Linked DNA regions of Caenorhabditis elegans. The protein of the gene in region 1 purifies or fractionates together with the protein of each later gene. This does not show direct contact. Each region holds a gene or a part of one and is shown in the gene's direction. Other genes may lie near its edges.

Region 1 (6,000 bases):
TTTAGTTCTTATAGGATTCCCAAAAAACCTTCAATATGATAACTGAATATTAGATCTGATAGCAATGAAGGGTGTGGATCAACACAAACCTTTTTGATGTCGGCTGCGAATTTATAAACTTTTTTTTCCATAATTTCTATTGCATAGATATTCAAGTTCAAACTACTAACTATATAATAGGCAGGCGTGCGGATAGAGACTATTTACTGACATGTGAGATGCCTTTTGTTTTTGTCAAATATTCTCAAAAACACAAGTATTTATAGAGAATGATTTTGAAAAAACATTTTTACCAAATTTTGAAAAATAACAGAAACCTCATTCAGTCTACCTCTGGATCATTTTTTGTCTACCGTCGAGTTCAGAATATTTCAATTTTGGATTCAAATATCTATTTTATCCGTCTCCTAACCAAACTTTGATTCACTTTTATGGGAAAAGAATGACGGATATCTCGATAAAGTTAGGTTTCAAGTTTGATTTCTGGTTGCCTATTTTCCAATTTCCGCTGTGTCTTCGAGCATTTCGAGGATCCCGAGATTCGCGAATCTCAAGCTGAAAACATTGAATTGAAACCCAAAATCTGCCAATATTTGGGTTTCATTTGGTGAATGCGTTTCTCGGAAAATGTAGAAAATGGAAATTTTGAACTCTAAAGAAAGTGGATGAATAAGCTCAGCAAAGAGTTTTTCTATGCCATAGAACAAAATTTTTGGCAAAATAAATATGCTTTGTACACGTAGTAGGTTTATGACGGATTTATTTTGTAAAACGAGCTTTTCCAAAAGTCAGACTTATTTGTGCATTTGAACTGTGATTTAAAATTCAAATTTTTTTCTGACATTTCCACCCACATTTTGATCTATGTAAATTTACAAACATCTATATATAAATATCCTTAATGTTGTTTTTAAATAAACAAGTACATACAAACAGCAATTATTGAAAAGTTGACAAAAGCCATGGATCAGATTTAGTGTTTTGGGAATTTGCTTCAGTACCCTTCTTCAAAGAAACTTTTGAGAAGAAAATCGTCCCTTTCCAAGAAATGTGTCTAAACAGCTTTGTTGAGCCGTTCCAAGGGATATGTTAGAATAGCGATAGTGTTGAGATTTGAAGTATACTAATTTTTCGAAAAGTTTGAAAGCATATAATTTTTTTATTTTTTTTTTGTTGGCAGAAAATTTGAAACAAAAAAAAATAATCGAAGTACCAATTAATCCGAAAGTCTAGCGTAAAGTTTCCGAAAAGGAAAAAAACATTTCTAATCCTAAAAAGTAAGCATATCACCTTAGAAAATGATAAATGTATGTATGTTCAATGTTTTAATAGGGTTATAACGCCCACGTACCAAAAAAATATATTAAAGCCAAATATTATATAATTTTACCTTTTTGAAAATCTTAACACTCTGTATTACAACCCTAAAATGACGGTGTCTTAGGAATTCTGAAAATTTTTTATCCAAATGAAAATTTTCAAAAAATGTGGTTACAAATACCTATATTTCTTAAAGTCTATGGCTTTCTTTTTGTGTCAGATTTATAAATTTGTAGATACACTTATCTTCTCAATTACACAGATAACACGTTCTTGTATGTCTTACTCAGCATTTGGTGGCAACTTCTTGCTTACGTCTAGCCCAAAAATGCTACTTGAATTCAGAAGTTGGTAAAGCTTATGTTTTGCAAAATTGCAGCGCCCGACAATTTTTGAGTTTCGCGCCGTTCAAAAAACTTGGGTTGCATAGCGCCAAAATGAAAGCCCTATTCTTGTATTTTAATGCTTGGCTAACCCATTACAAAGGTTGGATCAAATTTGGACTAAACTAAGGCCCGAACTAAGCCGGTCAACTTCTGACTATAATACTTTCCGGCCACCTAGGAGCGCAAAATTGCTAACAAATTTCTTATTGATTCACAAGTATTTTAATTTCCAATGAAACCCCCAATTTTCACCATTATTATTACTCTGGCATAGTCTCTTGTTGGCTAAACTCATATTTTTTTCTTCTTAAGCCGCCGCCCAGGTGTGATACAGTTTCCTTTTGTTTGTCACTTTTACCTGCCTCTCCAGCTCACCACACCTTTCAACCGAACAGCTTAACTGTTCTTTGCACTTTGTGCAATCCAGAACTGACAATTGAGGTGTACGTATGTAGTAAGATACAAGATATCCCAGTACAGACCTCCCACTTCAATCCCGACACAGCGTTTACCACTGTGACGTTCTCTCTTTCTCTCCGCTCTCCCCTCATTCTGACGTTGTGTTGTTTGCCAGTAGGTCGCGGCACTCATAAAAAAGCTGTTGGAACTCTCGGCGACCTTCTTTTCTTCTGCTCGGCTCCCGGGGGCTCCCATGTGAGGCGCGCCCCGCGTACCATATGATAACGCACTTTGACCACTCACCGCGCCGCTAATGGCCCTTACTTATGCAGGCAGCCTCTTTTCCTGTGTTTTCACACATTTTTCGTTTTGTGACTCCTCTTTTTTCATCTTCTGTTTCTCCTTTCCGCAGTCTCCCTGCTGACTTGGCAATTAGCACTTATTTGTTGGAAAATACGTGAAAAGTGCTTGGTTTTTGTTTCAGAGGTGCACTCCTCTCAACCTAGATGCTCATTGAACTCTTCTCACACAGCGCTCCACCTGAGGATCCCTACTATGTACCTGCAAATGGTAAGTCTGATCAGTTGAACTTTTCATGCGTTTTTTTGGGGATGAACCATAGACAATGATGATGTTTTCGTTTGTGTCGGAATCTAGGAATAGATGCTTCTTGCAAGAGAACAAAAGAATTTGAGGAAGGGGGTGAAGAATTCAGTGGGGAAAAATGGGCGGAAAAACTCAAAAAGTTATGCGCATACCTAACGTGTGTGCATATTCAATCACCGTCTTCCTCTAAAATTTTGACGTCTACGTCTCCGTTTCGTCGCCACCCACCAGATTTTTTTTTCGGTATTCAGTGAAAAGGGGAGCATGATCTCAAAAACTCTAAACTCCCAAAAAAAAATCTGAACAACAGGATCTCACATTTCCAATACATATCCACATAGACAGTGGCGGCGCTTAAAGAAAGGGCAAAAACGGTTTTGTTTGTTTGATGGCTTCTCTCGCTAGGCTGAGTAAATCAAAACCGAAAATCTCTAGCCGTCACAGCCAATACCATAAGAAACGTCAAAGGTCGTACGTGTTAAATTTGATCCTCAATGAGTAGACTGTACCAGGGTCATAAAGGTGATTGGTCGGCGCCTATCCAACAAAACAAGAGCAGCACAATTCAATTTTAAATCCGAATGTTTAAATTTAACTTATTAATTTTGTCTTCGGAACATTTTTAGTAAAATTACGTCATTTAAAAACATTCGAAACCAATTTTACTTTAAAATTTTTATTCTAATATTTTAAGTTTACAAAATAAATAAAAAGCTAAATATAAGCTTTATTTTTAAATTTTTGAGCTGATCCCTACCTTTTCCGTAATTCTATTTCCCATTTTTGAATCAAAGTTTTTGAAACCTTTTCCTTTTCCCGACGGATTTTGTCAAAAAGTCTAGCTCTCAGAATAGCCCGACCTTTTTTTCAAACTGATCCAGCTACAAAAACCAAAAGGAAAAGATTACGAACGGATTAAAAAAAGAGTTGCAAATTCATTAATATGAGTTCAAAAATGGCAACTCATCAAGCGACCGGTTTTTGATGATTAATACTTTCATAAATTGAAACTCAAATGTTTTTGAGTAATTAATTTCTGCTATTATTTTCAAACAACATTCTTCATTTATAATTTATCGCAAATTCGTCTCCCGAAACCCTTAATCATGCATTTTTGTGTTTTTGTTTCTGAAAGAATGACAAAAATTTTCAATAATGCTTTAATAATTTCTGTTGCCAAAAATATTTGTTTGTGGGGGTTGTAATTTTGAAATTCCAGGTGAAAATATTTTGAAAAATCAAGTTCTAGTAGCAAGTTGAACTAGTTTTTTATTCTGAGTTTAACGAACAAATGTCAATTCACGTCAGAGAAGAAATATTTTTGGAACAATATTTTTTTTGGAAATTGTGTAATTTTCACAAAAATTTTGAAAATTTCTGTCCCTGTGTTTCCCTAAAATTGACATAATTTTTGATGAGTTCATTTTATAAAAATTTCTTGATGGTGTAAAAATTATAAAGAACAATAAAATTGTGTTTTAAAGAAAAATTATATTCAAAAAATCTTATTTTTAATTGCTGGGATCTATAAAACTGGGCAAAAAGTGTTGTCTATTTACGTTCAGGAAATCTTGACTAGAACATTTTGCGAAATAGCAAAAACTCAATTCAATAATTTTTTAAAGCTAGTATTTTTTGGAACCATTAACTCGAAATTTGAAAACTGGAACCAAAAAAGTGGGCGGAGTTTCCAAAACGCCAGCAAAAAATCATTGGCAGCTCGTCATACTTTTTTCGCTTTCCTCTCTCTTTTTCTCCCCCCGGCCAGCCTTCTCCTCTCTCCACTGACCTGTGATGTACCTTAACAATTTCAAAACGAACGACACATTCGGAAACATCTAATTTCTCACCCATTTTTTATTATCAGAGAGCAACCAATTGTTGCGTGGGGTAGTGAAAAAGAAACACGTACATACATCTCTTTTCTAGATTAATCTAATCTAGAAAAGGCGAAGGCCGCATCGAAGGCTTCACTTTGATTTACTTTTGTGCGTGCGTCTGCATTTTTTTTTCATTCAATTACAAATTCATCATCATCATCCCAATTCAATCAACCAATTTTTCAACAATTCAACATCTAGAATCATTTGCAACGACGGCGCTCACACCGCACTTCTCCACAACGAGCGTATGGTCGATACGGGTGCAGTTGATCCCGACGATGGGAATCTACCATTTCAACGGTGTCGCCTTGTTTCTGTTGCCGGTGCTTTGTCTGATTGGGTTGATCGGCAACTTTTTGGTGTGTGTGGCAATTGCGACGGATCGAAGGTTACACAATGTCACCAACTACTTTTTATTCTCATTGGCTCTGGCTGATCTTCTGGTTTGTTGTATTGTGATGCCATTGAGTATAGTGGTCGAGGTTCGGCACGGTCAGTGGAATATTTTTGGAATATTTTTTTAATTTAGGGCTAGAAAAGAAAATTCCTATACTTCCTATACTGTTCCTATACTGGAAAATGTACATAGGATTATTGTTTCTACAAAAATTGAAACTGTAATAAAGAAAAGAAAAAACCTCATAAATAATTTTGATCTACCTGTCCCACTGAATTATGGCTTAATTTTGGCTTAAAACTGAATATTTGGTGTCTACACTATATGGCCGACATTTTTTAGGTTACGCGACTTTTTAAATAACCTAAGAAAGACAATTTAAAATGCATTCGGCAGAGGTGAATTGTGTAGGTATAAGGTAGGCGTAGGTAACTTTAAAGCCTAATTTTTTTTGCTGTCATGCAAGTTATAGGGAACAGTGCAATATTTTAGGCTGATAAAAAAAACTTAACCCAAAATGCTTTTTTACTTAATTTTTTACCTTTTTCAATTTGTGAAAACGAATCAGATGATTAATAGGCTATAAACTAAACTATTGTTTGTTTTTTTCAACTTTATTTTTCCCTTCTCCAGGTGTGCAAATACCACCAGCGCTGTATTTTGTCAATTAGCTAATAATTTCGATGAATTTTTTTCAAAAGTATCTAACTATAAGCATCTTTGAGCGCATTTGTTAATAAATAATTAGAGGAACGAATAAAAAATGAGAATAAAAAAATCATGAAATATTGAGTGGGAAGTGTAAAGATTTTTGAACGAATAGAAAAAAAAAGTTAATTATATATGTAAAATTATAAATTTAGTTAATTGAAGATCGAAATAATCTTCACAAAAAAAAAAATTTTAAAAAGTAATTTCAGGGGTGTGGACATGGAGCGTGTCGATGTGCCTTTTGTACGTCTACTCGGACGTATTTCTGTGCTCGGCGAGCATTGTCCACATGTCCGTC
Region 2 (4,600 bases), on another chromosome or scaffold:
GAGATATCAATATTGCAATAATCATACAAAAATTGGAATATTTTGAAAAAACTCAACGTTAAATATAAAAAATGTTAAAATTGGAACTACAATTGCGAGTACGGTAGCTGGAAAGTTGTTGGCGTGCCAAGACCCAGAAATTTGCATAATTTTAATTCAAATGCCGATATTTCTACAATATACGAAAATTTTCTTAAATTTTTCCAGTTTCATCCCGGGCTAAAAAGTGTTATTTTTATTTCTCAAAATATAATTAACGATTTTCATTCCAGGCCCATTCGACTTGCTTTCCTCCAACACTGGTCTGACACCTTCTGGTCAGCCAACAATGAACTTCGTTTCAACTCCAACCCCGATTCAACCACATCCGGATGCTGATCTCCGACCACTCTAGATTCCGATTCAAATCATTTTCTGTAGCGTGCATTTGTAATTTTCCCCGTCCAGCTCTCATTATTACAAAATTTCATACAATTTCCCGATTTTCTATCCAATTTCCATATCTTTAAATTCAGCCAGTTCTCTCTTTTCTCATTATAGTTTCACTTTTAGCTACTGAAATTCCCCCAACTTTCCGTTTCCAATTATTGTGATAAGAAATACATTCAACTGTAACATCATTTTCTTATTCTTCGAAACCATCAACTTCTTCACTGGTAAATCTTCAAGTCGATTTTCTCCATTTTTTTCTTCTTCAGTTTCATTAAATTCATGAACTTTCCTTACCAACCATCAATCCCAATGTCACATAAACGAATATTTTTCATCATGAATCATTTACCTCAATCAATCCAGATTTAAAATTACATTAAATCGGTTTTTGTGCAACGGGACGTTCAAAAAGGGAATAAAATAAATTGGGAAAGAGAAAATACAAAAAAAATAAATAAAACGGGGCACATTTACAAATAGAGTTCTTCTGGAGCTCCTTCCTTCTTACGGTAGAGCACATTTTCTTTGGACTTCTGGAAATCTTCCATCGTGACACGCATACGACGCTCGCGAAGAGCTAAGAGACCAGCTTCTGTGCACATAGCCTTGATATCAGCTCCACTCAACTCGTCCTTTGCTGTGATGAACTCTTCGAGGTTAACTTCTTTGCCGAGTGTCATTCGAGATGTATGGATCTGAAAATAAAAACTTCATATAATGTTTAGAAAAAATTGTTCCAACCTGGAAGATACGGCGCTTCGTTTTTTCATCTGGCAGGGGGAATTCAATCTTACGATCAATACGACCTGGACGAATGAGAGCAGGGTCGAGAGATTCGATGCGGTTAGTGGCCATCAAAACTTTAACATCTCCACGGGAATCGAATCCATCAAGTTGATTGAGAAGTTCAAGCATAGTCCGCTGAATTTCACGTTCTCCACCAGAGTTCGAATCGTAACGTTTTGTTCCAACAGCATCAATTTCATCAATGAACACAATTGATGGTGCATTCTCCTCAGCAACGCGGAAGAGCTCACGGACCATCTTTGGACCATCTCCGAGGTATTTCTGAATAAGTTCCGAACCAACAATACGAAGGAAAGTAGCTGACGTCTGATTAGCAACAGCCTTGGCAAGTAGCGTTTTTCCAGTACCAGGACAACCGTATAGAATAACTCCCTTTGGAGGCCGGATTCCCATCTCTTCGTAGTATTCAGGATGAGTCAGTGGAAGCTCAACTGCTTCTTTAATTTCTTGAATTTGCTGATCAAGACCACCAACATCGGCATACGTTTCTTGTGGTGCTTTTTCGAGCTTCATGACAGACACCATAGGATCTGTATCATCGGAGAGAACTCCGATGACGGCGTGATTCTTGTGGTTGAGAAGGACTGAACATCCCGGCTCGAGTTGTTCCTTGTCGACGAATGACATGATGTTGACGTAATGCTCACTTCCGACGTTCTAAATATTGAAATAAGAAAATATTATCGATATATTGATTCTTACAGTTGAAACAATGGCGTGCTGATCATCGATAATTTCCTCAAGTGATCCGACTGCCATTGGTGTTCCACGGAGCTCGTCCACCTTGGCGCGCTCTTCTTCTTGTCTCTCCTCTTGTGGCTTCAAACGCTCCTGGTTTTGAATGAATTCTTGCTCCATCAACAAATAATCCTTGATTCTTTCGCTCTTCAGCAACTTCAGACGGCATCTGGCATGTGGTGTGACTAAAACCGAATCATCAGTTAAAATACACACTAGATTGAAACTTACCAGCTGGAAGTTTGCTAGCGGCGTCAGGTCCCTTAGACCCCTTCTTCTTCTTTCCAATCCTAGATGGAATCGGTGCCTCATATTTCTTCTTTTCCTTCTTCTCTCCATCTCCGGCACCGCGGTCATTTCCTCTTCCACCGAAACCTGACTGTTGTTGCCCCATTCTAGAAAATAATGATTTTATATGAAAAATAATAAGTCCACGTTTGAAAAAGAAAACAATTGAAAGATATAAAATAAGTAGAACGAAGAATGATTTAAAAAAATACAGCGTTGATGATGACAATGCAAGCGCGCTCTGGTGAGAACTAAACAACGCGCGGTTTCGTATTTTCGGAGCTTCGTTGTTTTTATTGACGAAGCCACATGTCTGTTTTATTCAGAAAATCTAATTTTTCAATTGATTTTTAAGTATTTTCAGCGTTTTAAAGTTTGCAAACGATTGTTCATACTCTTGTTTTCAGTAAACATGATGCAATACATGCTTCTCTTCAGTCGCCAGGGCAAACTGCGGCTGCAGAAATGGTACACTGCTTACCCCGACAAGGTAAGTGTATTTCCTATTCATATGTGTAATTTCACACTCAATTTTCAGCAAAAGAAGAAAATTTGCCGCGAACTCATCACTCAAATTCTGGCGAGAAAACCGAAAATGTGTGCGTTCCTCGAATACAAGGATTTGAAAGTTGTCTACAAACGGTTCGTATTTTATATTCAAAAGTAACAACTCCCATTTCCTGTCATGCCTTAAAATTGTTCCTTCTGAAAATAACTTACAAGTTTATAATCAAAATTTCTTGAAAATTATAGTTACACACCTAAATCCGAAGTTATTACGTTTTTTATTCATGAAAAATATTTTGGCGTCAAATTTAGTTGTTTAATAGACATTTTTGTGATAAATGAAACAAAAACTTAACAATTCGTTCAATTTTTAATCTCAACAATTTCAGATACGCGTCTCTGTATTTCTGCTGCGCCATCGAACAAAACGACAACGAGCTCATCACTTTGGAAGTCATTCATCGTTACGTAGAACTCCTCGACAAATATTTTGGAAGTGTTTGTGAGCTGGATATCATCTTCAACTTCGAAAAAGCTTACTTCATACTCGACGAATTTTTACTGGCTGGTGAAATCCAGGAAACCAGTAAAAAACAAGTTTTGAAGGCGATTGCTGCCCAAGATCTCATTCAAGAAGAAGAAACTCCACAAGGATTCTTCGAGGATCACGGTTTGGGATAATGAAGATAATAGTAACATAATTTATTGACTTTGAAAGCTTCCGTAAATACCAAATACTTCCACCTTACTTTATTTATCCTGGCTATGTGTCTGGTTGTGATAATATTCATGTGAATAAGAGAAGAAAACATTCATTTTTCAATCTTCCATTATGTATTCTTTCTGTTAGGAAACTTCAATGCATGACTTGCATTATTTCTACACTTTTTTCAATTTTTTCTTTAAAGTTTTGAACTTTCTCAGGTTTCGAAGCGGATGATTATCACAACTCCGAGACGAGGTGAGCTAATGTGAATTTTGCCGAGTTTCCCGCACATGAGTGTAAAACACGAACAGGGGAAAGGTGGATTCAAGGATAATTCAACGGGGGGTAATATGCGAACGTTGGCAGTGTAACATGTCAGTTCGAACGGAATGAATGTAGGAATGATTGGCACCTCTGCCGGAATTGTCATTTGTTAGATTACAAAGCACAATGTTCACCTTCTTGTTGGTGTCGAATTTCAAAATATCATTTATCTGAAATTTCGATAAGTATGATTAAACTAGTCAAAATTGTTTCGATCACTTCCGTTTTCTCAAAGTTTAATCATTTTCGTACAGTAGATGTTTGTGTCCTCTTCATGTTTTCTGCCCAATACTTCTTCCTCTTCCCATCCACTATACTTTGCATTGTTTTTGGTTTTACATTGAACAAGGGCAGTGAAGGCGGAGACAGCGGGAAATGTTTCCGCGCGGATTCACTCATTCTCTCAAGTATCCATCAATTTGCTCCAGCACACACTTGTTCTTTCACCTAGTTTTTGAGTCGTAGTTAATTTTTGATCTAAAATCTTGGCAGAAAGCAGAAGTACGCATCACATTATTTGAATAAGTATTCGCATTTTCAATATTCGCAGTCCATGAGACCCTAGAAATCATAAACAAACCTCGCTATTTTTTTCAGTCTTGAAAATCAGCCAAAGAGTTGGTTCGAAATAACGCTTCCCAGTTGCTTTTAACTTTAGGAAAGAACGATTTCAAGTAATAACAATAAATGTATATAATTCAACGGAACTCCATTTTTCACTTGGTAGATTTAAATTAGCTTTACGTGGTGCATTAAAAATAATCACATGTTGAAAATCGATAATAGTTTTTCCTAATA
Region 3 (5,958 bases), on another chromosome or scaffold:
CGATTCATATCTTTGCGCACATATGAGATATAACAAAACGGTCAACTGAATACCTGTTAATAATAAAAAAGCACTTATTTTTTGATTTAAAGATTTTTGATCAGACACCTGGTTTTGGAGTTACTGGCAAAAACATGAAAAATTAGGATTTTTTGAAAATTGGACCAAGCGCACTTCTATCGACTGTAACTCAGAAACGTGAGGAGATCCAACGTTGCACCAAACTGATAAATTGTAGCTTATAATATGTACATTAATGTTGTAATACATTACTTTTGTATATCTCTCATGGTTTCAAAGTTAGCACCGCTCAAAAATAAAAAAGACAATTTTGCAAGCGTTTTAGGCACTTCCAACAGATGTAGCGCTACCAATAAGCTATGCCTGAGTCTGAAAATTTTCAGTTTTATTTAACTAACTGTCTAATACATCTACGCATACAAAGTTTTTGATTTCATGAGGAAATAAAAAAAATCGAAAAAAAAAATTTTGTTTCGTTGTCATAGTTCGGAGTTTTAAACAACCTGGAAGTTGACCGAAATGGCTGATATCGTTGGGCTTGTCATTACTAACAGTCCTCTATACAACCGCAAAAAAATATCCAAGAAAAAATCAAAACTGGAAAAAAACGACAAAACTTATTGAACGACCTAATAGTTTGTGCTCGCCGCTGACTAAAATTGATAAGATAATTTTAGTTCTTATCTGTCTGTCTCCCGCTCGTACTGTTCCTCCAGTTGTTATTAGTCTTCTATGATTCTGCTAGATAATAATAAATGTTTTGTCTGAAATTGTCTGAAAATTCCATGCGATCACATTTCGAAGAGGCGGCGGCGACGGTTCGAAAAAATTCAAAAAGTCTGAGAAATCGACGAGCCGATCAGGGGTTTCTCCTAGCGCAGACGTCATTTCAGTTGTGAGTTTTTGAAAAAAAAGATTGAACAGATGAAAACGCGCTCTATTGCGAATTATCGGTGAATCTCATTAGAGCGCGCTTTCTAGAAGGTTTTAAGATGAACATTTCGAAAAAAAACGTTCCAATTTCCTTTTTTAGGTCAAACTTCTGGCCTAGAATTCCCTCTAGTCCCTCCAACACTTGTCGTTGTCCTTAATAATTCTTCAGTGCCTTTGGTCGATATATCCGTCTCCGCAAGCTGTGCTGCTGCACCCCTCTGTGCCGCTACTTTCCTGTCTGCGTCTCGACCCCTGCCCGCTCTATTTCCCTCATTTTCTCTCCGCACGTTCTATGTTTGATTCTATCTTTGGGGCGAGGAGGGAAGAAGATGCGTCGTCTTTTTCGTCCTCTTTTAGGAGCCCTTCTGTGTTTGGAACTGACGCAGAAGCTGAAGAGATGGAGGACGACGTCCCCATTTAATCCTTCACTCATTTTATCGCCTTTTCCCCACAAAAACCCGCGCTTTTCGGACATTTTTTTGGAATTTTTCGGGTTTTTTTTTGAGGCATGTTGCACCATGTTAGTTCCTGCGAATTTAAGGTTTTTATTTTATTGTGAAATTTTTTTAAAGATTTTTTTAAATTTTGAAAAACATTAATTTGTCTGTTTTAAAGCAAATTTAGAATTTAATTTACCTATTTTTTTCGGATTTTCTTCTATTTCTGGCCATCTAAACCGAAATTAGAATGGATTTTACAGAAATGCTACCCAAAATTAATTCATTTAAACATTTCCGGTTTTCTTGTGGCTTTTCGTGATTAATTTATTCATTTTTACCAAGAAAAAACAATAAAAATCGATAAAAACTTCAATAAATCGATTTATTCGAGTACTGTTTTAAAGGCGCATGACATCAAGATTTTGTTGGGTTTTGACACGAGTTTTTGTTTTGTGCGAGTTCAGGTTGACTCTTTTGTATTTTTCAATTAAAGAAATTGTGAAATAGGTTGATGAAATTTTAAAAACACTTTTTATTGTTTTCGTGGAGAAAAAATCAGATTTCGTGCTTAAATTCTGAAAAATTATGGTAAAAACCGTATGCCTTCTTTAAAGGTACATGGAGGAAGTTTTAGTTTGGGTCTCGAGGCGATAGTTTTGAAGATTATTTTATTTTATTTTTTGACGGTTTTAAAGCAATTTTTCTCTATTTAACCAAGATTTTTTGTTGTTTTTGTCACAAAAATCACAACATTAAATTTTTTAAAAATATTTTTCACAAAAATCACCTCACCGAACCCTTCTGCGTGTCATTTTTCACTCCCAAAACGAAAAAAACTTTAAAAAAAGCAAAATTTTTTCAGATTCGAAGAAATGGCGTTACGCAAGGTGCGTAGCAACATTGACCGGATCTTTGACAAGTCTCTGACCGACTTGATCCGCGGAATTCGCAATAATAAGGATAATGAGGTGGGATTTATTGGTTTTCCGGGAAAAAATCTAATTTTTTGATATTTTCAGTCCCGATACATCACTCAATGTATGGAAGAGATCAAGCAGGAGCTCCGACAAGACTCGATTTATGTGAAGGCGAACGCAATTGAAAAGTTGGCCTATGTGAGTTCCGGCGTGCCGAAAAACTTGAAAATTAGCCTCTATTCAGTGGAAAAACGCTCTAAAAATGAAGAAAAACACGAAAAATTGAATTTTTCACTTAAAAATCTGTAAAAACCATGACTTTTTATGTTTTCAGCTCCAAATGCTCGGTTATGACATCTCATGGGCTTCGTTCAACGTGATAGAAGTGATGGCTTCTACAAAATACACGGAAAAGCGAATAGGGTTGGTTTTTATTCGATTTTTGCTGAATTTTGACCTAAAAACTCCGGTTAAAACGTATTTTTCGATGATTTTAAGCCGAAAATTCAGTAAAAAATCAATAATTTTTCAGATATCTCGCCGCTGCACAAAGCTTCCACGATGAGACTGATGTCCTTATGTTGACGACGAATTTGATAAGAAAAGATGTGAATAGGTAAGGTTCTTGGGCGAAAAAGTGTGAAAAACTGGAAAAAATACAAATTTTCGCCAATTTTGAGCTAAAAAATGCGATTTTTGATGTTGGAAATGTTGAAAAAATGCAAATTTGGATTTTGGCAAGAAATTTCTGGAAATTTACAAATAAAAAATGAAATTTCATTTTTTTAAATTAGAATCTTTTTAAAATTTTATTTTTCTAATAAAAAAAACCGAAAAATATCATTTTTTCTGAAAAAAAAATTGAAAAATTATTTTTTTCTCAAAAAATTCAATTTTTTATCTAAAAAAACGATAAAAAACCATAATCAGAAAAAAAGGCAAAAATCCAGATTTTTCTTTTAAAAAATGGATAAAAAACACAATTTTTTCTCTAAAAAATCAAAAAAATTCAGATTTTTGCTTTAAAAAATACAATTTTTTATCTAAAAAATTGATAAAAAATGCATATTTTTTCTGAAAAAAAGGCAAAAATCTAGATTTTTCTGAAAAAAATTGATAAAAAATCCATTATTTTCTCTAAAAAAATCGAAAAAGTTCAGATTTTTTCCCAAAAAAAGGGGAAAAGAAAAAATATAGATTTTTATTTAAAAATTGATAAAAAATCCAATTTTTTCTAAAAAAAAACGGAAAAAATTCGGTTGTTTCTCAAAAAAAAGGAAAAATATAGATTTTATTTCCAAAATAAAATGAAAAAAAAACTGGAAAAAATAATATTTTTTCAAAAAAAATTTTTTTGCCAAAAAATCAATTTTTTCCTCAAAATATCGAAAAAGTTCCAATTTTTTTCAAAAAAAAAATCACGAAAAATTCAATTTTTCAGCTCAAATATGTACGAAAGCGGTATCGCATTGGGTGGTCTCAGCTGCTTCGTAACTCCAGATTTGGCTCGAGATCTCGCAGCGGACGTTGTAAATTTGCTCTCTTGCTCGCGGAATTATACGAGAAAACGGGCGGTTCTGCTGCTTTATAAGATATTTTTAAAGTATCCAGACGCTCTACGACCAACATTTCCCCGATTGAAAGAAAAATTGGAAGATCCGGATCCGGGAGTTCAGAGCTCGGCGGTTAATGTGATTTGTGAGCTGGCGAGGAAAAATCCGAAGAATTATTTGACACTGGCACCGGTTTTCTTTAAATTAATGACTACTTCTTCGAATAATTGGATGCTTATTAAAATTATTAAATTGGTACGGACATTTCGAGGCAGAAATTGGAAAAAATCGGTTGAAAATTGATTTTTTTTCCGAAAAAATCGTTTTTTTTCGGTTACTTATGCGAAAAAATTGAATTTTTTTCGATTATTTTAAGCGAAAAAATTGGATTTTTTTCGAAAAAAATGATAATAAAATTTCGATTTTCTTTAGAGAAAAAATTGAATTTTTTCGGATTTTTTTTCGATTTTTTTTTCAGAATTTTTTTGGAGAAAAATTGAATTTTTTCGGATTTTTTTTCGATTTTTTTTTCAGAATTTTTTTGGAGAAAAATTGAATTTTTTCGATTTTTTTCTAAAAAAAAGTGAAATTTTCAGATTTTTTTTTTGAGAAAAAAAGCTAATTTTTTTTTCTGAAAAATTGAAGTATTCCGAATTTTTTTTGAATTTTTCGCAAAAAAAAAATAAAAATCTGAAAAAATTTGGAAAAATAATGAAAAAAAAATTTTTTTTTACCAACTTTTTAGGAAAAAAATGAAGCAAAAAATTCGAAAAATTTATAAGTTTTTAAAATTTCAATGTGTTAGAAAAAAATGAACAAAAAGGAAAAAAAAGAGATAAAATAAAAATTTTCCAAAAATTTATTTTTTAATTTTAAATTTTTTTGCATTAAAAATCTGATTGTAATTTATTATTAAATCTCGAAAAAAGTTCCCAAAAAAAACGAATAATATTTTCAGTTCGGAGCCCTCGTCCCACTGGAGCCCCGACTTGGCAAGAAGCTCCTGGAGCCGCTCACAAATCTCATCAATTCAACGTCAGCAATGTCGTTGCTCTACGAGTGTATTAATACTGTTATAGCAGGTAAAAATCGATATTAAAATTTGATATAATTTTTTAGGAAATTATGAAAAAAAATTTTTTTGAAATTTAAAAAATTCGAAACAATTTTTTTTTTCAAATTATAAAGTTTTTTATTGGAATTTTTCAAATTTTAGAATACTAGATAAGTAAAATTTTACGAAAATTTGAAAACAAAAATTTAAAAAAAAAATTTATTTGGAAAAAAGTGAAAAAAAATTCGAAAAAATCAAAAATTAATTTTTTTTTCAATGTTTGAAAATCGAAAAAAATAACTCACAAAAAAGGTAAAATGTACTTTTTTCAAAAAAATAGAAAAAAAAATTAAAAAATTTTTATTCTGTGAAAAAAAATCAATAATTTTTAATTTCAGTATTTTTCAGCTTCAAAATTTGTCAAAGGTGCCAGAAAAAAATTTAAAAAATTAAAAAAAAATCTAGCAAAATATTCGAAAAACATTCTAAATTTAAATGAGCCAGTGGAAAAAAAATTAATTTTTTTAAATAAAAAAAAATAAATTTCAGTTCTTTTTAGCTTAAAATTCGCTGAAATCGGCTGAAAATCGCTCAGAAATTTGAAAATCTTTGACGAAAAAATAATTTTTTGCACCAAAACCGCCCAAAAAAGCTAAAAAATTCCAAATTTTCCACCTAAAACCTCCCAATTTTCAGTACTAATCAGCATCTCAGCCGGCGGAGACCACACCGCTTCCATTCAACTTTGCGTCCAAAAACTCGGCGTTCTCATCGAAGATTCCGACCAAAATCTGAAATATTTGGGGCTCCTGGCGATGGGAAAAATTCTAAAAACCCACCCAAAAGCCGTCCAAGCTCACAAGGACATTGTGCTCCGATGCCTTGATGATAAAGATGAAAGTATTCGAATAAGAAGTCTTGATCTACTTTATGGAATGGTTAGTAAGAAGAATATTGTGGAAATTGTCAAAAAACTAATGGAACACGTCGAAGCTGCCGAAGGAAGTCATTATCGAGATGAGCTTCTGAGCAGAATTATT
Region 4 (5,010 bases), on another chromosome or scaffold:
ATTCAAAAATAATTAGGTGAAAACTGTGATTTTTCTAATTTTCAAAAATCATAAAAATTTTGGCCACATAGGCATGGTTTTAACCAGTTTTCACACTTTAGACAAAATTTTTTCATAAAAAAATGTGTTTTTTCTCGTTTTCGGCCTGAAAACGAAAAAATCGCTTTTTTAGGCCGACAAACGAGGTGAAATAATTGTTTAATAGGAAAAATAGCTTTAAAAACGATAAAAAATCACTAGAAACTACCAAAAACTTTACCGCGCGCCGAGACCCATCTGAAATAATCTCTGCGCCTTTAATTTTTCAAACTACTAACCGCTTCATCGCTGACACTGTAATTCCCAGACGAGAAAACTTCCTCCTCAAACATCAGAACCTTCTCGAGCTCCAATAAAGCTTCATCGAGCTTTGACTGCTCTGCAAGTGCCTTGATACGAATTGAGCTCGTTATTGCTGGCGGACAAAGTGTTGTTAGCTGAAGCATTTCGTCGACATCATTCCATTTTTTCAACTTCATCGCCGATGCAGCTGTGAATGCGGCAGACCGGCAACTTATCTCGCATGTGCTTCCGGTTTTCCGAACGAGTGTCTTTGATTTTTCCAGATTTTCTTTACTTGATGACTGGAAGTTCATCGCTGCGATAAGACATTGTCTCAGAAGACCTTTGATTTCACGATCTGCGCTTGAATTTTTAATCATTGCTAGCTGCTCGGCTGGAGCCACCGCACGGCCGAGGATCAGTGCTGCGCGAGACACGGCTTTTTTCACTGGCAGCATCTGTTTAATATTTCTATTAAAAATTACTAGTATTTACGACCGACTTTCTTGATTACCGAGATACGTTTAAAGCTGAAGAATACTGTTTCGTGTATTTTGTGTAACGGGAAACACTTGCGAACAAACAAAACATTTATCAACAAGAGTTTACTTAGAATTCTCCACGGGCCAACTGGCGGCGTTGCTTTCTCTTCGACTCCTTCTTGACTTTTGGTGCGGCATCATCGGTTGGCTTGGAGACAACATCCTCCTTCTCGGCCAAGATGACCTCGATGTGGCATGGGGAAGACATGTATGCTGAAATTAATTTATTTAAAGCGAGAAAACTTTTTAAAAAATTTTGAAGTTTTCAAATATGCACAATATTCTACGGAGATTTCAAAGTAAATTGCCGCAGAAAACCGACCGCTAAGACTTGCGTGTAGTTTTGGGCACACAAAGAAAAATTTGCTTCAAAGAGCGGAAATCAACTTACGGTTGATTCTTCCGTGGGCACGGTATGTTCTTCTGCGGAGCTTGGCAGCGCGTTGAACGTTGATGTGCTCAATAACGAGGTGGTCAACATCGAGCCCCTTGTACTCGGCGTTGCTCTCAGCGTTCCTGGAAAAATAAACAATTTTTTATCTTTCACTTAACAAAAATTTTTTTAAATTGAGTTGAGAAAATAGGTGTGAAACTCACTTCAAGAGATCGAGGAGGAAGTCAGCGGACTTGACTGGCCATCTCCCCTGGGTGGTGTTCCATTGCTTGGTTTGAGCGGCACGGCCGATTCCTCCGTGGAAACGTCTGAATGGAACGATTTCCTTGTGCTCCTTAACGTGGTTGAGGAAAGCCTGGGCGCGTCTGAGTGGCATGCCACGGAGAGCCATGGCGGCCTCGTGGGTGTTCTTGAAGTGAACGCGGAGATCGGATCCGCGAGCCTTGCACGACTTGGTGCTGTTTTCCGGAGCCCGGGAGTAGTGAACCTTCGTCATTTCGACAAGGAAGATTACCTGAAAATAATACAGTTCAGAAATAAAAATTAGAACGCAGGTCCAATAAAGAACGAGGAAAATTGCCGGAAAAAAATATGTTCAGTTAAATTAATTGAACTCTGGCTTCCCTAGTGCTACACAAGTTTTTTAATTACAAAAAATCACGACAAAAGTTGGAAAATACGAGAAGACCCTATTTTCTTAGTAAAAAACAAAAAAATTGCTAAAATTTCACGATAATTCCTAGTAATTCGTATTAAATATCACTTTACATTAAATTTTTCAATTATTTTTCGAAAAAAAACAGTAAAAAACGGCGCATTTTAGGCCAAAATTGAGTGAAAAAGAGAAAAAGGCCCAAAAATAATCGCGAAATGTATTTAAAGGCGCAAGCGAAACCGTAGTCCGCAGCGATGGGTCTCGCCGCGATCTTGTGTCGATTTACGGGGAGAGGCAACACTCATTGATTTTTATAATTTTTCGCGTTGTTTCGGATAGTTTTTCGCGAATTTCTTCGATAATCTTGCAATTTAAAATGTTTTTCTTTTGTTATTCGTCTAAAAATCATATTTTCAGATGATAAAAGCGATACTTGTCATCAACAATCACGGAAAACCAAGACTTTTAAAATTTTATCAACATTATCCAGAGGAGAAGCAACAGCAAATCGTTCGAGAAACCTTCCAACTGGTGTCAAAGCGCGACGATAACGTCTGCAATTTTCTGGAAGGAGGAACTCTCATCGATGGAAATGACTATCGATTAATCTACAGGCATTATGCCACATTGTATTTCATATTTTGTGTTGATTCTTCTGAAAGTGAACTTGGAATCCTCGATTTGATTCAGGTAAGCTATCCTATTTTTAAAAATCGATTAAAGTGTTCAGGTCTTCGTTGAAACTCTCGACCGCTGCTTCGAAAACGTGTGCGAGCTGGATCTAATCTTCCACGTGGATCGAGTTCACCACATTCTCGGCGAAATCGTGATGGGCGGTATGGTTCTCGAGACGAACATGAACGAGATCCTTCAACGCATCCAGGAACAGGACAAAATCCAGAAGCAAGAGGCTGGAATCACTGCGGCGCCGGCCCGTGCCGTGTCGGCCGTCAAGAATATGAACATTTCCCAGCAGTTGAAGGACATCAAGCTGCCAGATTTACCGTCGCTTTCGAATTTGAAAAATGCATTTTGACCTCGATTTTCTTGGTGCTTCTACTTACACACATTCCACGCTCATCACTTAAACTTTTTCCTCACGAGGGACGAGGAAAAGGGGTTTCTAGGCCATGGCCGAGGATCCGTCAAGTTTCAGCGGCAATTTATCTTGCTTTGTTTTCCGCGTGTTTTCTTTTTTTTTTCACAGATTTTCTCCCGTTTTTTCTTATCAAAACTTATAAATAAATATTTTTTGCAGGCGCTAAAGCAATTTCCAAGTGAAAAATCGTGTATTGAGTCGGCAAGTAGCGGTGAACGTGGGCATTGTAATATGATGGATTACGGGAATACAAAACCTAAACTTTTTCTGAAACATGATACATATGCTGCTTAGATGCTAAAACTACCTGATTTTCATATCGAGACCGCTGAAAAAGTTTTAAGGTTTCCAAAATTCAACTTTTTGTTCGAAAATCTCGACTTTTTCACCAAAAAAGTTGAATTTTGAAAATCTCAAAACTTTTTCAGCGGTCTCGTTATGAAAATCAGGTACTTTCAGAATCTAAGCAGCATATATATCATGTTTCGGAAAAAGTTCAGGTTTGGTATTCCCGTAATCCATCATATTACATTGCACACGTTCACCGCTACTTGCCGACTGAATACATAATTTTTCACTCGGAAATTGCTTTAGCATCTGCAAAAAAATATTTATTCATCAGTTTTAATAAGAAAAAACGGGGGAAAAATCGGTGAAAAACACAAGAAAACACTCGGAAAAGAAAGCAAGATAAATTGCCGCTGAAACTTGTCGGATCCTCGGACATGGCCTAGAAACCGCATTTCCTCGTCCCTCGTTCGAAAATAGTTGCAGTGGCTCGAGCGCTCATCTTGTATTTTTTGAATGTATAAAATTATTTATTTATTATTTACTCCTCATTGAAGGTTTTAGGGATTTTTAAAAAAGTAAAAAAAGTACAGGTCTTCAAAAAAAAATACTTTACAATTAAAATTTTTTTTTAAATTGACCCAATTTTCCATATTTCCCGCAGAAAATGGATTACGACCCGTCCCAATATCGGGAGCGAAACAACGCCTCCTGGGACCGAATCCGGCACGAAAACGCGGCCAGTGTGCGATCGGAGCCAGCTGACTATATGTTTGATTATAGTAATTATAATAATAATAATAATGTACGAGAGCTTGGGTCTCGCCACGAAATTGCTCAATATCCTCCCGCGCAAAATCTGGATTTTGAGCCTGTTCAAAGCCTAGATGGCCTGGATTTTGTGGGTGAAGAAGTCGCAATTCGGGGGGAAATTGAGGAGGTGGAAGACGATGAATCTGAAGACGAATCCGACGAAGAAATCGATCGCCCTGACATTTATTGCATGGAATGTAGATCAAAAATCGAGGATACCAACTCGCATGACTGCAGACTAAAGCCGAAGCTTTTCGAGTGCACAGAATGCCGGGAAAGCTTCAACTTTGAGAAAAATCTGAAAATCCACAAAATTCTCGACCACCTGAAAGCTACTGACTTTGTGAGAGGAACCATTTGCCAATTCTGCTCGAAAGACAAAACTCACGCGCCTTTTAGCCGATTTTCGGCCTATATTGGACATGTAAAAGTTCATTTAAAATCCGATGATTTGGAGTGTGAGCAGTGTGGCAATGAGTTTGAAAATGAGGTAAAAATTGAGGATTTTCTTAGGAAAAATTACAAATTTTCGGTGAAAATTCTAGGGAAATTTGACAAAAGTCCATTTTTCAGTAAAAAAGTGCAAGAAAAAAGTCAGTTTTTCGTGAAAATTAAACATTTTAGGTTAATTTCTGTTAATTTTCTTCAAAAATTCCCCGATAATTGACTTTTCGAAGGAATTTGACCTAAAATCGACAAAATTCCAATTAAAAAAATTCAAAGGGAGACATAATTGATAAGAACGCGGGTCTCGGCACGACAATACAAATTTGGGCTATGCGCCTTTAAATCCATCGTATCTTTTATTGAATTTTTAATGATATCAGATGAAAAATGCAGTTTTTTGGGTGATTTTTTGTGAAAATTTTAGTGAAATTCAAAAAAAAATTACATTTTT

Evidence for each region.
Region 2: the proteins of ser-1 (region 1) and aps-1 purify together in Caenorhabditis elegans (affinity purification with western blotting, with the first as the bait; one study listed by BioGRID). This does not show direct contact.
Region 3: the proteins of ser-1 (region 1) and apd-3 purify together in Caenorhabditis elegans (affinity purification with western blotting, with the first as the bait; one study listed by BioGRID). This does not show direct contact.
Region 4: the proteins of ser-1 (region 1) and aps-3 purify together in Caenorhabditis elegans (affinity purification with western blotting, with the first as the bait; one study listed by BioGRID). This does not show direct contact.

What each region holds. Positions count from the first base shown.
Region 1 is NC_003284.9:16,577,134-16,583,133, forward strand, and holds the start of ser-1 (G-protein coupled receptors family 1 profile domain-containing protein), read left to right. Parts: upstream 1-2,611; coding exon 2,612-2,675; intron 2,676-4,792; coding exon 4,793-5,086; intron 5,087-5,911; coding exon 5,912-6,000.
Region 2 is NC_003283.11:6,015,298-6,019,897, forward strand, and holds aps-1 (AP complex subunit sigma), read left to right. Parts: upstream 1-2,672; 5' UTR 2,673-2,677; coding exon 2,678-2,755; intron 2,756-2,803; coding exon 2,804-2,907; intron 2,908-3,161; coding exon 3,162-3,453; 3' UTR 3,454-3,589; downstream 3,590-4,600. Other genes in the region: Transcription factor fos-1, read left to right, coding at 273-394; rpt-2 (putative 26S proteasome regulatory subunit 4), read right to left, coding at 903-1,127, 1,174-1,896, 1,942-2,162, 2,209-2,371; picc-1 (PAC-1 interacting and coiled-coil domain-containing protein 1), read left to right, coding at 3,709-3,733.
Region 3 is NC_003280.10:3,542,730-3,548,687, reverse strand, and holds the start of apd-3 (AP-3 complex subunit delta), read left to right. Parts: upstream 1-2,256; 5' UTR 2,257-2,266; coding exon 2,267-2,362; intron 2,363-2,413; coding exon 2,414-2,509; intron 2,510-2,645; coding exon 2,646-2,734; intron 2,735-2,843; coding exon 2,844-2,927; intron 2,928-3,752; coding exon 3,753-4,119; intron 4,120-4,822; coding exon 4,823-4,946; intron 4,947-5,614; coding exon 5,615-5,958.
Region 4 is NC_003279.8:1,153,340-1,158,349, reverse strand, and holds aps-3 (AP complex mu/sigma subunit domain-containing protein), read left to right. Parts: upstream 1-2,329; coding exon 2,330-2,602; intron 2,603-2,642; coding exon 2,643-2,948; 3' UTR 2,949-3,836; downstream 3,837-5,010. Other genes in the region: Y48G8AL.7 (Origin recognition complex subunit 6), read right to left, coding at 318-779; rpl-17 (Large ribosomal subunit protein uL22), read right to left, coding at 931-1,076, 1,255-1,379, 1,461-1,753; znf-236 (C2H2-type domain-containing protein), read left to right, coding at 3,967-4,602.